Linked DNA regions of Lepisosteus oculatus. The protein of the gene in region 2 binds, or shares a complex with, the protein of the main gene of each other region. Links are inferred from orthologs where the notes say so. Each region holds a gene or a part of one and is shown on either strand. Other genes may lie near its edges. The genes, in order: mms22l and tonsl.

Region 1 (7,213 bases), on a different chromosome or scaffold from region 2:
GTGAGGCGAGACGCAAAGACTCAGTTTAAAATTTACTGGCGATTCTAAATGTATGAAAAAAATTGCTTGACAACTATAGGTACAATAGATATTAAGACAGTAGTGCAATACTAGTAACTATGTTCCTGTGTTTTCATTCAGGTTATATATCAAGGAGTTGGGCAACAAAACAATCAAATAATGGAGACAGGTGTGCACAAATTAATACAGTAAAAAGCAATTTATTTTAAAAATAAAGAGCTAGTGTCTAAAAGTGAGTGTAGACTGGGTCAGAATGTGCCAACAGGCATGTTTGAGCCAACATCCATACCTTAGTATTAAGAGCTGAGATATTACAATCGTACTTAAAACTGAACAGTAAATTAACCATTTACATTACTATTGCTAAAAAATCATTGGCAAATTACCTTTATAAACAAACCCAAAATATAAATGAAGATTTGTTGCTATACCCATTCACTTCAGTGTGTAGTGTCAGCAATTACTGTATAAAGGCTTGGAACAATTAATCTGGGGATATTTAATGTTTATCTTAATATAGCACACAGGTATGGAGTAGTGGGTTGTCTGCTCTTTAAAAATATTTCAGGCAAAGCTGTTGGGGTTTGTGTTTAGAATCAGTCTAAGTAATTGTAAGTCGCAGTCTCGAACTTTATGACTATCTTTACATATAGTGATTTAGAATTCCCCGTATTTTAATCAAATTAATCTTTCCTCAGTCTCCTTTTTTAGTACAGTATTAGAGAACCTTAGCAAGTAAAATAAAAACATTTACCAAAATCATGCGTGTTGGACTGAACCAGGGTTTCCAATCTGTGTACTTTTTGTCTGAAAAAAATGAAAGCAGTGTTAATAAATCTTCAAAAACACCACTAGAACGAAACGTACCATACACCTGCAAAACACCAAACACATATCTGAAACCTTCCATAAACAAAATACCTTCACTCTACATGCAGACAGATACTAGATTGAATCTAAATGAGGTTTCTAAGGTCTGTAAATATGGTTAAAATGGTACAGAATTCATATTTCCATTCAATGCACTGTAGACTAACAAAAGTCATAAAACTAGAAGTTTAAGTGGGTTTTCAAGAAGTTCCATTGAAATGTTATATTAATTTTGCTTTGTCGAATGAATGGGAATTAGGTGACAACTCTGTTACCACCCTGTAGGTTCTTCGATCTCAGACGCTTAACAAAAGCTGAACCTAGTCAGTACTGGGATGGGAGATCATTACTGAAAAATTGGTATTGTAGGTGGTGTTGTTAAAGATCATTAAAGACCCCACAAAACTGTTTGTGGTACATACCGTGGTTTGGTATGCTAAGATAAGATCACTTTATTAGCCATATACAATTTCTTGCATTAGGAATTTGTCTTTTCACATACCCCAGCTTGCTCTCCATGAGACACACAGACAGGGAGAGAGAAGCTTGGGGTCAGAGCTCAGGGTCAGCCATTTATACGGCACCCCTGGAGCAGCTGGGGTTAAGGGCCTTGCTCAGGGCCCCAACAGAGTAGGATTCCTCTGCCGGCTGCTGGATTTGTACTGGCAACCTTCCAGCCACCGGCAGAGATCCTTAGCCACAGTGCCACCATTTACAGTAATTACAGCAGTGGTGGACATTACTGCAAAATAAAAATTCCACACCATTTCAAAACTGCCCATGAATGGATGTGCTACATGCAGCAACATCCCTTCAAGGGGTTTTAGCTCGCACTGTATGCCATTCAGAGCCACCGCAGTAAATATGACTGCAATAAAGAATGAGCTTTGCTCCAGGGAGGGAGGTAGCTCAATGGTTCCCACTCTCTTACTTGAGCAAGCTGAAGAGAAGCTTAGCAGACTCCACCAGTGCAGTTTCAGTCACCCAGAGAAAGCCAAAGATCTCCACAGTATCGGTTTCATATGCAGCTGGGGAAGGATCCAGTCTTAGCAGGATTCTGTAGGTAAATTTAAAAATGACACAATTCAGTAGACTTTCATGACAGTCAAAGTAAGGTATAACTTGTTGTAATGGACAGTAACAACACAGTCAAAATTTGCATTTAGAGTGTTTACTGAAAGGAACTACAAAGCAATTTAGACTTTTGGACCGAAAATCAGAAAGAGGACAAAGATGTTTCCAAAATGTTCAGACCCTAAGTACACACATTTCATGGTACAGTCAAATGGTACTGCCGTGAGTGCAGGACGAGGAGGGGTACATGACTTGGCACTGCTTGAATTTACCTCTTCAGAGCCCCGCTTGTAATGTAGCCCTCAGAGGAGAAAGCCCTGCTCGGCTCGGACACGCAGCAGAAGCACGGCGGCGGGACAGAGCTCGCCTCGCACTGACTGTCCAGCAGAAAGGGCGACACGGGGGGAGTAAGCGAGGGGCTGAAGTCGTCCTCCATTTCCGCCTCAAGAAGCTGAAAAGGCAGACACGCCGCCGACCTGCGATTTGTGAAGGGTTACGAACTGATCACAAATCAACAATCACCTTTGTGTCTTTGCAACATTTTTCGGTTAAAAGCAAGCTGATAAAAATGCTAGGTATAAAATTCATCAAGGCAGCTGCCACTACAGTACGATTTGATCTGTTGACTCGAACAATAGTCACAATAAATGGCTATTGTACGTTATGAAACGAAACCTCTAATTCAAATTGTATTTATGGTTTTATATGTTGAATAGCTAGTTTTTCTTGATAAAAGGTTCGTTAAACACCACTAGACTGAAAATGCTTTGAGGATTAAACTGTTTATTTTTATTTTCTTTTTATGGTTATGACATCTACAGTGGCTTCATATCGTTCGTTTGAAATTACTTGTTGCTCAGCGTTACTTACAGTGCACGAAATGTCAGCAAAGCAGAAATACAGCTATAGTATGTCAAACAAACTTACACCTGTAAACAGAAAGTACACATACAAAACCTACATTTTTGCAGTTTCTGATTCTGTAATTTAGCCCATTGCGGTCATTTTACTAATTTTATTTAATAATACAAGACCGATTAACTTTTTAACCCATCCTTTGTGATTAATAATCAGGCCAACCCATGTTATGTAATTCAATAGCCAGAACTTCAGCCTACAGCATGCTAACGTCTGTTTCCTTCACACCGAAATGCTGAAAGCAAAGCCATAAATTGCAAAGATTAAAATGAATAAATTCCTATAACTTACAACCACACACACAGGAAGCCCAATCCTTTTTACTGCAAAGAACTCCTTGTGTTTTGGTCTCTCCCGCGCCGCCAGTTCGGCAGAAGACGCATGCGCAGGGAGAGCGGCTAGTCCCTCCCCTCCATTTCCATTGGCTAGAAGTTCGGCAGAAAGCGAGACTCCGGTCACGTGCCCGTCACGTATGATGTTACCCAAATAGTAAGTAAGGTCCTAACTTTTCAACCGCTGCTGGATAGTTTTTAACGTATCGTGAACAATACACTAGTAATATATAAGAGTAAATGCAAAATAAGTGTAACATGTCATTGTGTGCATACTCTTATCCTGAGATACATATTATGCAGTATTTGCTTGTTTCAAGACATTTTGCAAGATAGTAGCTAGTGCGGCATTTATATACTTGGCCATTAATTCTTCTGGCATTTGGCAGGGAATACAAATAAGGACTGAAAACATATACTGTATTCGATCCAAACTGATTCGGTAATTAAAATGATTAAAATTTAAAATTGTAATAGAGAGCACCCATGAAGAGCGAAAGAAACATTATCAACACACCTGTCAGCAGAAATGGGTTTGTGACTGTAAGGCAAATAAAGGCAAGGGTTACGAGTTTGAAGCTAACATTGTAGTATCCTCATTTGATAACAGGTGAAAGGAACAGCTGGAGAGTGATGACAAAAGATTTTGCATACTCTCGGTGCATACTGTACCACATTACTATATGGTATTGCTCATAATATTATTGCATTTACCTCTTAACTAGAATTATTTTAAAAAGCCGTTTTCTACATTTGTCTATATAAAGAAAATATATGAGAGGAGCTCATGTCTGTCCATCGATTTTAGGTTTGTTCATTACTAGTCTAGGCTTCCCTAGAGGGGAGAAAAGATGTACAGTACATTTGTTATGACTGTGGTCGCTGGTTTATTTTCTTTGAAAAAAACTTCCCATTATTTTTTTAAAGCCAATGACATAATGTTAAATTGTGTTCGCAAAGTGTATGAAAATAACGTTATGTAGCTCTTTTGAACAGTCTGACTCTGAGAGTTCCTTTCTAATTAAAAAACAGTACACTAGAGTTAAATAAAATTGGACCCAGGATAACCCTGATTTCCATATGCAGATTTATCTGCACTGACAGCTTCTCTCTCCATTGCATTGTGTCTGCATTCAGTACCACCACGCGTTTTTCAGTAAATTCTACACAGAAATGAAAAGACATCTAAACAGTTATCGTTGGCTGAAGTGATTTTAGATCACTGCGTTTCTGCTAACATTTTGTTTTATTTGTAGCAAGGCAAGTCTGTCTACAAACCATGAAGTGGAAATTGACACAGCCAGCTCAGGAACGGATTTTTTCCTCGTTGACTATGATGCGAAAATGGAAGACGAAAAAAACAGCCGAGGCACAAAGGTTTTGATATTATTTTTGATGAGAGATTATTCTCTTTGTCAGTAAACCATCAATGTGATGTGCTACAGTCGACTCTTCAAGAAAGAAAGATCCCGATGAAACGTGAATGGAAGGTAAGACTCTTCATATTGTGCTAATTAGGTCTGTTGACCTTTGTTTTGTACACAGTAGGATTAAACATTGGGGAAATTTAGAATTAACCCTTTCCTAACATAAACAAAATCTCTGATAGGACAGTTCAAACCTGGAACTTGCAACAAATAAAACAATTAGCTAAGAAAATGTGGTCACGTTTCATACATCTATATTTAATTAGAAAATCCACACTGTATGTTTTGATTTTTACTTTGTTATTAAAAAGCATTTTTATGCATCAGATAATAGTATCACATATATTCTGAAATTTAAAATGACTCTGTTTTGCCTTTTGTGTGGGGAAAAAAAGTTGTGGAAGGATATCCTGTTTTTCAACACCGCTACACTGACAATAAATGTAAAATTCATACTATTGTTCTATACATTTTTATTCTTTTTCTGTGTTAATTGGGTTAAAAATTGCGGTGCCTATTAGAAATTCTAATTTCACAATGCAGCACTGCCAATACACTCAGTCTGTGAATTATTCACATCTTTAATTTGCTCATTTAATGACAGTGTTCTGTAATCAGAGTGCAGAGACTGCTTCCCATGCATTATGTATGATGTTCAAGACTTAAATGCAGGACATTATGAAGCTCACAGAGTGACTCAGTAATTAGTTTTCCACAAGGCAGCAGTTAGATGTTAAACTAGTGGAACACATATTTCACACAAACTATATGGTGTGACTAATGAAATGTTATCCCCTAGATGGCCTTTAAAGGAGGTAAAATGATAGTGTGTTATATTTCCTTTTAATTAACCAAACTGTGCTAAATATATAAAGACTACACCTGTTGCTGTAGGTCTAGTGATTCCTCAAAGTTTTTGAAGCATTCAATCTGATGTGGTGGTGATATTCCTTTTAAAACAGGGAAATTGCTTGTTTTTTTTCTGTCTGTGTGACAGCAGTCCTGTTAATTACAGAACATAAAGCTTATTTAAATTGTATGTTTGAGTCAAACTGAGATTGAGCAAGAGCAATCAATTAGCATGAATATGAGAAAAGATACATAGGTACAGTACTGTATATGTACCTGTAGCTGTGTCACCACTTTAATTTTTTAACAGCAAATATCACATTGTATCTCACTATAATCACCCAAAACACAAATAAAAGTGTTAAAATAAGATAACTCTGAGTAGGTAGATCTGTTTGAGCCACAAAGGCTCATTGGGCCAGACCTTACCCCAATATAACAATAATACAAATAAACTACAGTGTAAACTATAATAATATCATCTGAAACTAGGTACTGGAATGTACATAGGTAAGCTTTTAAATAGAAAACACTATTTGTCTTGACTGAGTTTTTTTTTATTTGAAGTGTATTTTATATTTTATTTCTTCAGACTTTATATTTTGGATTCATTGTTATAAACATGTTTACTAAAATATAGGTGTGCACAAGTGTTTTCCAATGTACATGTTTGGGGCCACTTTTGAGTTTCTATGAAAAAGTGGTGAAGTTCAATATCACATGTTAATGGATGGCAAAATATATGAAATCGCAACATTCTGATTCTGATCACTGAGGCAGTTCTCATGTCTGCCACAACTCCTGTTAAAGGACTTAAAATTAGGATCTTAAAGATTAGTTTAATGGTCATAAACTCACTCTTGGCATTAATACACAAAGATAAATCACTGATATTTCTATCAGTGCTGAACAATAGCTATTTTCAGTTGAACTCAGAGCCTCTACTGTCATGTGATAGGGTTTTAAACTGTACATAATTAGCTAGGCGAGCCAAATTTCATTTGTAGAGGAAGTTATTTATGTTCAGACAGAACCATATTTTACCAGTGAAAGCCATGGGAGTCTTCCATCTTTGTACAAATGTGAGTTCAAATAGGCTGCAATAGCAACTTCTGTTGAGAAGTCAATGGAGTACTGTAAATGTAGTTTCAGGAAGGGAGTAGTATTTCGGAACATGTGGAGTTCTTCATAAAGAATTAGAAAAAGGCAAGATCATTCATCTTATTGTGCTCTTTTGGTTTCTCTACAGCCTGCACTGGCTGTGCTGGGAACAAACATCCTCTGTGAAAACCCACACAAATACAGGGCAACCATGCAAGCTCCACACAGACAGGCATCCCAAGCCAGAATTGAGTCAGAAACCCTGGAGCTGTGAGACAGTAGGCAGTAGTGCTACCTGCCATGCCAACACCAATGTATTACTAAACAATAACATCTTTCTGTTACTGAGTAACTTCAAAATTCATCTGTATTTAACTAGACGTGTTAACTACTAGGTATTTTAATGTGCCGTGTAGTAAAGTTGGCCTGTAATTAAACAGGCATTAGTGTTCATAAGTATTCGGGGAATTGTGGAAATGGTGTTGCTCCAGTTCTTTACTTTGTTTATGTGTCTTTAGTAACTACTGTTCCATAGTCTTTGATAGCCTCTGATCCAAAAGACCACCCAAGTGACTTTCATGAGTGTGTTACAGTAGAAACTAATGTTGCAACATAAAGATA
Region 2 (7,253 bases):
TGAGCTTGAAATTTCGCAAAAAATTTCACATAATAGTGCTATGCTAAACAAGATCATATTAAGTAGTATATTAGACACAAGAGCTTTTTGCAGCAGTGTAAAACTTAACTACTGCCTACTATCCTAAGTAATCACTTTAGTTTTAATCAAACACTGATCAGAACTTCCTGAGGATAAGACGATCAGATTTTTAACAATGAGCTATTTTTTCACGATTCAGCTGAGTGCCATCTCTGAAGCAAAGTTCAAGCTTTGGAGAAAGAAATGTACATCTTGAGAAGTAACCTTGTGATTTAAACGAAGAGTCTGCCACAGCTCTCACGTAAAAAATGAACATACAAATTAAAGAGGCTAGAAAGACTACATTAAGTCACAGTGCTAAGCATTGTTACAGGCTACCTGTACTTCAGTATATATACATATCTTCCATTTTATGATGATCACTGCCAAATTAGAACAAAAATTCACCCCTCTTAATATTTATATTGCTGGTCCCCAGACCTGATCCTGAAAACCATGAATCCTTCAGTTTTTCAGGATCTTTTCCTTCAGCAGTTAAAAATCACATCAGTGTTGACAAATTAAGATAGCAACAATTAAGAATGCAAATTAAGATACATCATTTCAGTAAAAAAAAAACAGAACCTTGAAAGCCCTCCTGTACCAGGGTTGGACACCCCTGCCCTTTCCTATAGTCTTTGCTTAAATTAGAACTTGATTCTCGCTGGTACTGTTTTTTTTTGCTTGCTTTCAATTTTCCAGCTGCTCTGATGGAAACCTTTGCACTAAAATATCACAGGCTGTAAAGAGATGATCTGCAGTTTTGCCCTGCAGGAATGCAGCATCTCTTACAGTTATCTGAAGCAGCAGGGAGAGACTCGAGGATTTTATTACGTGTCATTGTGTAATGGCGTTGGTGGAATCATCGCTTACCTGGAGAAAGGTGACATGGTGGACGGGCCCTGATGTGTATGATGTCTACACACAGCCAGGCGGCGTAGGGACGCATTGTGTTACACACCAGCACACACTCAATATTACGAAAGGCTTCAGTTTATTGTATTTTTTTTTAAGTCGGCACGACATTTTGGCAAGCCCGAACAGGCACACACTGCAGACAGCCGATTCAATACAGTATTTCATGTTATGAACTCACAATGCACTTACATGACAAAGCTGCAGCACACTTGCAATTTCGGTTCTACATTCGATTCACAATTCTTACTCATTTCTCTTTGTCAGTCATTTTACCAAAACACAACAGACACTCGGTAATGTAATATTTTGTTTTACCTGGTAGACGGACGCTTTGGGCAGGTCTAGGCACACGGTACAGCACAGGACAGAGTACAGTCTCTCCTCCAATTTCCCTGCCTCGCCTTCCTGCAGTCTCACCCGCTTCTTGGGCGGCGCGTCCGGGTCGGCCTCAGGCCCCGGTCCCTCTCTCCGCAACCCAGCCTCGTCCTGTCCTCCGACTAGCCCGGCGCCCCCTGGCCCCGCTTCGAGGCCGGCTCCCACCGCCCCAACCCCAAGCCCGGCCGAGGAAGAGGAGCCCGGAGTAGCGACAGCCGCGACCCCCACATCTCCCCTCTCCTCTAGAGAAGACATCGGGGATGCAGCGGGTTGTCTCTTTGTCTGTCTGCCTGCCTGCCTGTCAGCCCGAGTTCAGACGCGCAGTGCGCCCCAAACTGAATGTACAGCTGTGCAATGAAAAGTGGTTACACTATATTTCGTAATATTAGATGCAATAATAGCGGTGCAATTTTGTAATGCCCAAGAAGTGACGTCTGCATCTAATGAGAAACCGTTGAATTATATTGATGCTGATGTCTATTATGAAAGAAATTTTACATTTTCCCAACACTCAAAATATAGATCTATTTTGCTTCAGCTGAAAACAAAACAACACACGTTGAATTGTCTTTACTGCTCGGTGTCACCACCCAGCCTCCAGATCACCGGCACCCCGGGCTCAGTACATCGATCCTCCGCTTTCTTCCTACCCAACCAGCGCTGAGCTCCTCTGGACCAGATCCGCTCCGACTTTCCGTCTCTATCGCGACTCAGCTTGACATCGACTCCTGGACTGGGCAGCCATCTTTGTTTTTCTTCTATTCGTCTCCTCCTCTCAAAAAGACTCCTGAACGTCCCCCAATCTGTTTTAGGATTACTCTACAAGGGTCACAAGTGGAACCAATCAGAATCGTTGTTGGGGAAAGGCTGTTAATGTTTGCCAGTACTTATCGGTGGCTTCACTTGCCAGTCCTGTGTGCCATCCAGGATTGGTTGTTAATGTGGCGTTGTGTAGTCAGGTGACAGGGATATTTAAAAAGACAGGGGCCTCTTACGTACTTATTCTTCTCTTTACGACTTCTTGCGGGTGAATAAAGAGCAGCGCCTGTAAAGGTGACTGGAGAAAGTCTGAAACAAATAGAGGAGAAATAGGACGTCATTACCAGGCGTCACCGTGGCAACCACTACACCGCGTTTTGGTATTCTGAATTTTAACTTTGAGCAGTGCACTGCAGTTGCAAAGGTGAATACCCTGTAGTTTTTACTGTGTACCTCTGTATTCTGCAGTTGCAAAGGTGAATACCCTGTAGTTTTTACTGTGTACCTCTGTATTCTGCACTGTAATTAAACTCTACAGCACAATCACAAACCCTGAAGTTCAGAACGTAATTAATATGGATTTTCCTGTGTGCAGTAACTGTCTAGAAGAAAAAAAATGGCACCGGAAGTCCGGCTGTGTGCAACTGGCTCGGGTCTGTGACATTGTTAAAGCAAGGACAATTCCTAAATAGGGAGGTCTTAAAAATAATTCTTTCTAGCATTTATTTTGAAATAAAACCAAGAAGTAAAAACAGGAATAACTGCAGCAGCGGTTAAATAAATTACAATTTAGACAAGGTTGGGAATGTTCCTATTTATATATTGTGTCGCATAAAGCTACTGTTTACTTCCAAATTGTAGTATAAATGGCTATGAAGGACTTAAAGAACACCACAACTGGGATATTTCTATATAACGTCAATCTTGTTGTTACTGGATAGCTGTTAATACGTGAATATCAGGAGCCCTTCCCTGTGATTAGCAGGGCCTGCAGATTTCCCTTTAGCTCAACTGGTTTGGTCCCTGTTGAGTGACGCCATTGGCCCGGGTTTGAGTCCCCAACGGTGGGGGTGGGAGAGCGACCTGAGACGGCAGCAATAAGGGTGCATACCCATGTGAACCTGAGAGCATTACAATATATGTATATATGCTTAAAATGTTTAAAGTTTCTCATCTTACTGTACCTTTACGGTGCATAATGACAACCTTGTTACGCTAATTCTGTCGAAATAAAACTACTGAATCTCTTATAGTTTACATGTTCTCGATTTCTGTTTTGTTTTACACCGCTGGTGGACATTTCACTAAACTTACAGTATAGCATTGCTGTATTACATTTGCAAGTAGCTCAAACCATTATTTTTTTTTAAATGTACAACTTGTCAAATAAAACACTCGGGAACAGCGACCTATTGTATATAACGTTCCTATTGCTATGGTGTGAAGTAATTACCTCTAAAATGCAAAGGGTAATAGTTTACAATCATCCCTGATTGTATTATTTTTAAAAAGACAAGCTAGAGTTTTTGACAGACAATTCCTACTCTTTTTAAAACTGTGTATTAATAAACCTACCATAGTTTCTACATGAATTTATGAATTAATTAAATTCATCCATTACAATAATAATATATTTCATTATACAATAACCAATGTCGGAACGCAGGACTTTTAGTTAGAAAAATGCAAATATATAGTTCTCAAAACAGTCCATAACATCTCCCTTCAAAATATAAACAGGTATTTGTAAGACTGTAATTCTACTCCATGTTTATTGTCGATGCTTGTACTACAGTACAACTACACTGCATTTGTTTATAATAGATGACGTAGTTAGATATGATTGATATTCCTCTCATCTAATCAAAATAAAGAAATGCCTTCCGGAAAGAACGTCACACCTTTGAAACAATTGCAAAGTAGCTATTGGCTAAGCAGTTTTGAGTAGCCAATGGGAGACAGGAGGAGGCGGAATTGGTGGGGTGCGCGGTTTATTGTGAAGAGAAAATGGACAACAGATACAGTCGGGTGAAGAATTGTTTTTAATTCTTTAAAGATGACCTGTGTTGTCATCTGTGAGGACTGACACACTGAATATATTAAACGGAGACACACAGGGAGATAACCAAGTAGGCCTTTAGCTGTTGGAGATCGGAGCGCCTGGACATCGGGTTGCCTGAGCGAGATGAGCTTCTCTCGGGAGATAAAGCGTGAGTTAGGCGGCGGGTTTGAATTGGGACTCGCAGGGTTTATGTAATCGATCTGTCCTTTGAAGACAATGCAATCCAAGTATGTGATAAGGCAGAGTTTTGCTTGGAGATTATATAAGCTGCCAAATGGCTGGGAAAGATACAAATGATTGTACCTTCGGTTAATGCTGCCCGTGCCTTTGAATCTGATTCTTCTTCTCGTTCACGTCTAGCCTGGTAACGCGCATGTTCTCCCTAGCTTTCCTGTAATCCGTTGCCTTTTCTACTTTCACCTTCAAACTCTTCTGATTGTACGTCTTTGATCCCTGTTGCTGCACATCTTGTGACTCTCCACTGATCTGTTGGCTTTTAGTAGGCTTGTATAGAAATTGGTAGCATTTCAAATGTAATACAGACATCCTGACACTAAACCTGTACATTTTTTTTATCCTCAGAGCTGCAGAAAGCAAAGACTAAAGCACAGAGCACTAACAATCTGAGAGAAGAGGCCAACCTGTGCAACCAGCTAGGAGAGTTGCTAGCTAAGAATGGTGAGTGTGTACACTAATATAGTGCTTATTGAGTAGGAAACCCACTAGTTCCCCATTGAAGTGTAGCCCCCCACCTACTGTATACCGCCATTGTCAAATGTATGGTCAGTGAGTGGATCGGTGAAGTGACTGCGACAGTAAAAGTAATGTCACTCTCTTCTTAGGAGATTTCCAGGCTGCCATTGAGGAGCACCGGCAGGAGCTGGTGCTGTCAGAGGTTCTACATGATGTGATTGGCTGTGCTGTTGCTAACAGAAAGATTGGAGAGTGCTTTGCAGAGCTGGGCAACATAGAGGCAGCACTGAAGGTAAGATATGGCCTAGTTGGGGAAAACTGAAAATACAGAGGCTGGTGTACTAAGCATACAGCCTGGAGAATATTCTCACAGTCCAATAGGCTATTCAGCCCCGTTGACACTGTCCATAGGTTTTTAGATCCAGGAATTAAAAGATCCAGGTGTATAACACCCTACGATATGGCCTGAATTTATTTCGCTTGTTAGTAAAGTAGTGTTGCGTGTATTATCTTAATGCAATTCTGCAGTTCTTCAAGCAAAATCAAATCTTGATGAATTTAATTTATGTGAAATTAATCTGAAATTGATGCACTTTTATTTAGTTAATTTGGATTTTTAAAAGAATCTTAATCGTAATGAAGAACATAGACTCATTTGGTGGTGCTTAAGGTAAGATGCAAAGTAGGACCACGAATGAGCATCTCAGTCTCTTGCTCTATAGAGTAATAACTCCCAACTTCCACTTTCACTCTTCGTCACTGGTCTGAATCTCACTTCCTCTCATTCCCCGTTATTCATATCCCTATCCCTCTCCCTCAGCACCAGAGGCGCCACCTGTCTCTGGCTTGCTCAGTCAACGATGCAGCAGAGGAGCAGAGGGCCCTTGCCACCATAGGGCGGACCTTCCTGTACCGCTATGAGTCTGACCAATCACAGGACAGCTTACTGCAGGCGGAGGAAGCCTTTAAGAAGAGCTTGGCGATCGTGGATGAGCGGCTGGAGGGTGAGTGGTACTTCTCTGTGTAATAGTGCACTGAGAGTGTTAGGCAAGTTATGTCACCCCCTCGACAGTGTGGAATTCTGCTGTGACAGAGGACCCGGCCTTTTGGCATCGTAGAGTTATCACTGTCTGGGGAGTTGCAGTGTGTGTACTTGGAGATCGCAAGTGAACTGATTCAAATCCTGATAGGAGCAGAAAGAGCTGCAATCCTTGTGGTTGGACATACAGTCCTTCCTAATCGAGAGACCACGTGCGGAAAGGCTGCTGTCCGAGCCCAAGGTTGTACTCCCTATTTACTCACGACTTCACAGCAAGACACAACGACAATTGCATCATTAAGTTTGCAAATGACACCACTATAATGTCAATGATGATTCGATGATGATGACGACGAGTCCACTTACAGGGATGAAGTCGTACAGCTGCTGTGGTGGTGTTATAGCAATAACCTGGACTTGAATGTGAGTAAAACAAAAGAACTAATAGTGGATGTTCGGAGACACAGGCCACACACTCACAGCCCACTCAGTATTTATGGAATGGAAGTGGAAACAGTCACCAGCTTTAGGTTTTTGGGAATTCACAGTTCTAATGACCTAACCTGGACTGTGAACCCGGACTTTATTTTGAAGAAGGCTCAGCAGCACCTCTATTTCCTGAGGTGCCTCAAGCGATGGGGGATGCCAGTACCTGTGTTGGTGAACTTCTACTGCTGCACCATCGAGAGCATCCTCACCAACGGGATCACCGTGTGGTACGGCAACACCTCTCGTTGAGAGAGTAAGGCACTGCAGAGAGTGGTGAATGTGGCCCAGAAGATTATAGGCTGTGGTCTCACAGAGATTAAACAGCTGTATGAGGACCACTGCCGTGGTAGAATTCTGGCCATCACAGAGGACAGTGACCACCCCGGGCATGAGTTCTTCACCCCACTGCCCTCAGGCAAGAGATATAAGAGCATACGGACACTTACCACCATATTCCTCAATAGCTTCTACTCACAAGCAGTGTGATTGGTGAACATATTTCGCCATGCCCTCGGACCACACCTATACTGTCTACCTCATTGTAATTTTATTAATTGCACATCTGCAGTCATTATTTACATGTCTGCATTGTTTACATTCGAGCTGTTTACTTGTACATTGACTACTGTTTGTTTGTATATTGTCTTGATGCACTGTCTGCACTTTGTGTTTTACACTTTTTTTTAACAATCGGGAGACTTTCTGTCAGTAAAAATTCCATTGTACCAGTACAGTACATGTACTGGTTACATATGGCAATAAAGTGCAAGTTCACTGATATAGAGCTTTTGGCAAAAAGTAGATTAGCTTTGGCAGATCTCTAAGCTTATTTTGGATCACCTCCAACGTCTTGTCTGA

Evidence for each region.
Region 1: tonsl (region 2) and mms22l share a complex: the UniProt entries of both Homo sapiens proteins name them as parts of the MMS22L-TONSL complex. The link is inferred for Lepisosteus oculatus from reciprocal best matches to the Homo sapiens genes TONSL and MMS22L.

Annotation. Positions count from the first base shown.
Region 1 is NC_090697.1:32,372,321-32,379,533, reverse strand, and holds the start of mms22l (protein MMS22-like), read right to left. Parts: upstream 3,257-7,213; 5' UTR 3,175-3,256; intron 2,442-3,174; 5' UTR 2,402-2,441; coding exon 2,238-2,401; intron 1,949-2,237; coding exon 1,823-1,948; intron 829-1,822; coding exon 776-828; intron 1-775. Other genes in the region: PC3-like endoprotease variant B, read left to right, coding at 4,699-4,705. UniProt on the Homo sapiens protein: Component of the MMS22L-TONSL complex, a complex that promotes homologous recombination-mediated repair of double-strand breaks (DSBs) at stalled or collapsed replication forks.
Region 2 is NC_090705.1:22,085,185-22,092,437, reverse strand, and holds the start of tonsl (tonsoku-like protein), read left to right. Parts: upstream 1-4,086; 5' UTR 4,087-4,297; coding exon 4,298-4,322; intron 4,323-4,756; coding exon 4,757-4,852; intron 4,853-5,016; coding exon 5,017-5,159; intron 5,160-5,687; coding exon 5,688-5,871; intron 5,872-7,253. Other genes in the region: zftraf1 (zinc finger TRAF-type-containing protein 1), read right to left, coding at 1,294-1,608. UniProt on the Homo sapiens protein: Component of the MMS22L-TONSL complex, a complex that promotes homologous recombination-mediated repair of double-strand breaks (DSBs) at stalled or collapsed replication forks.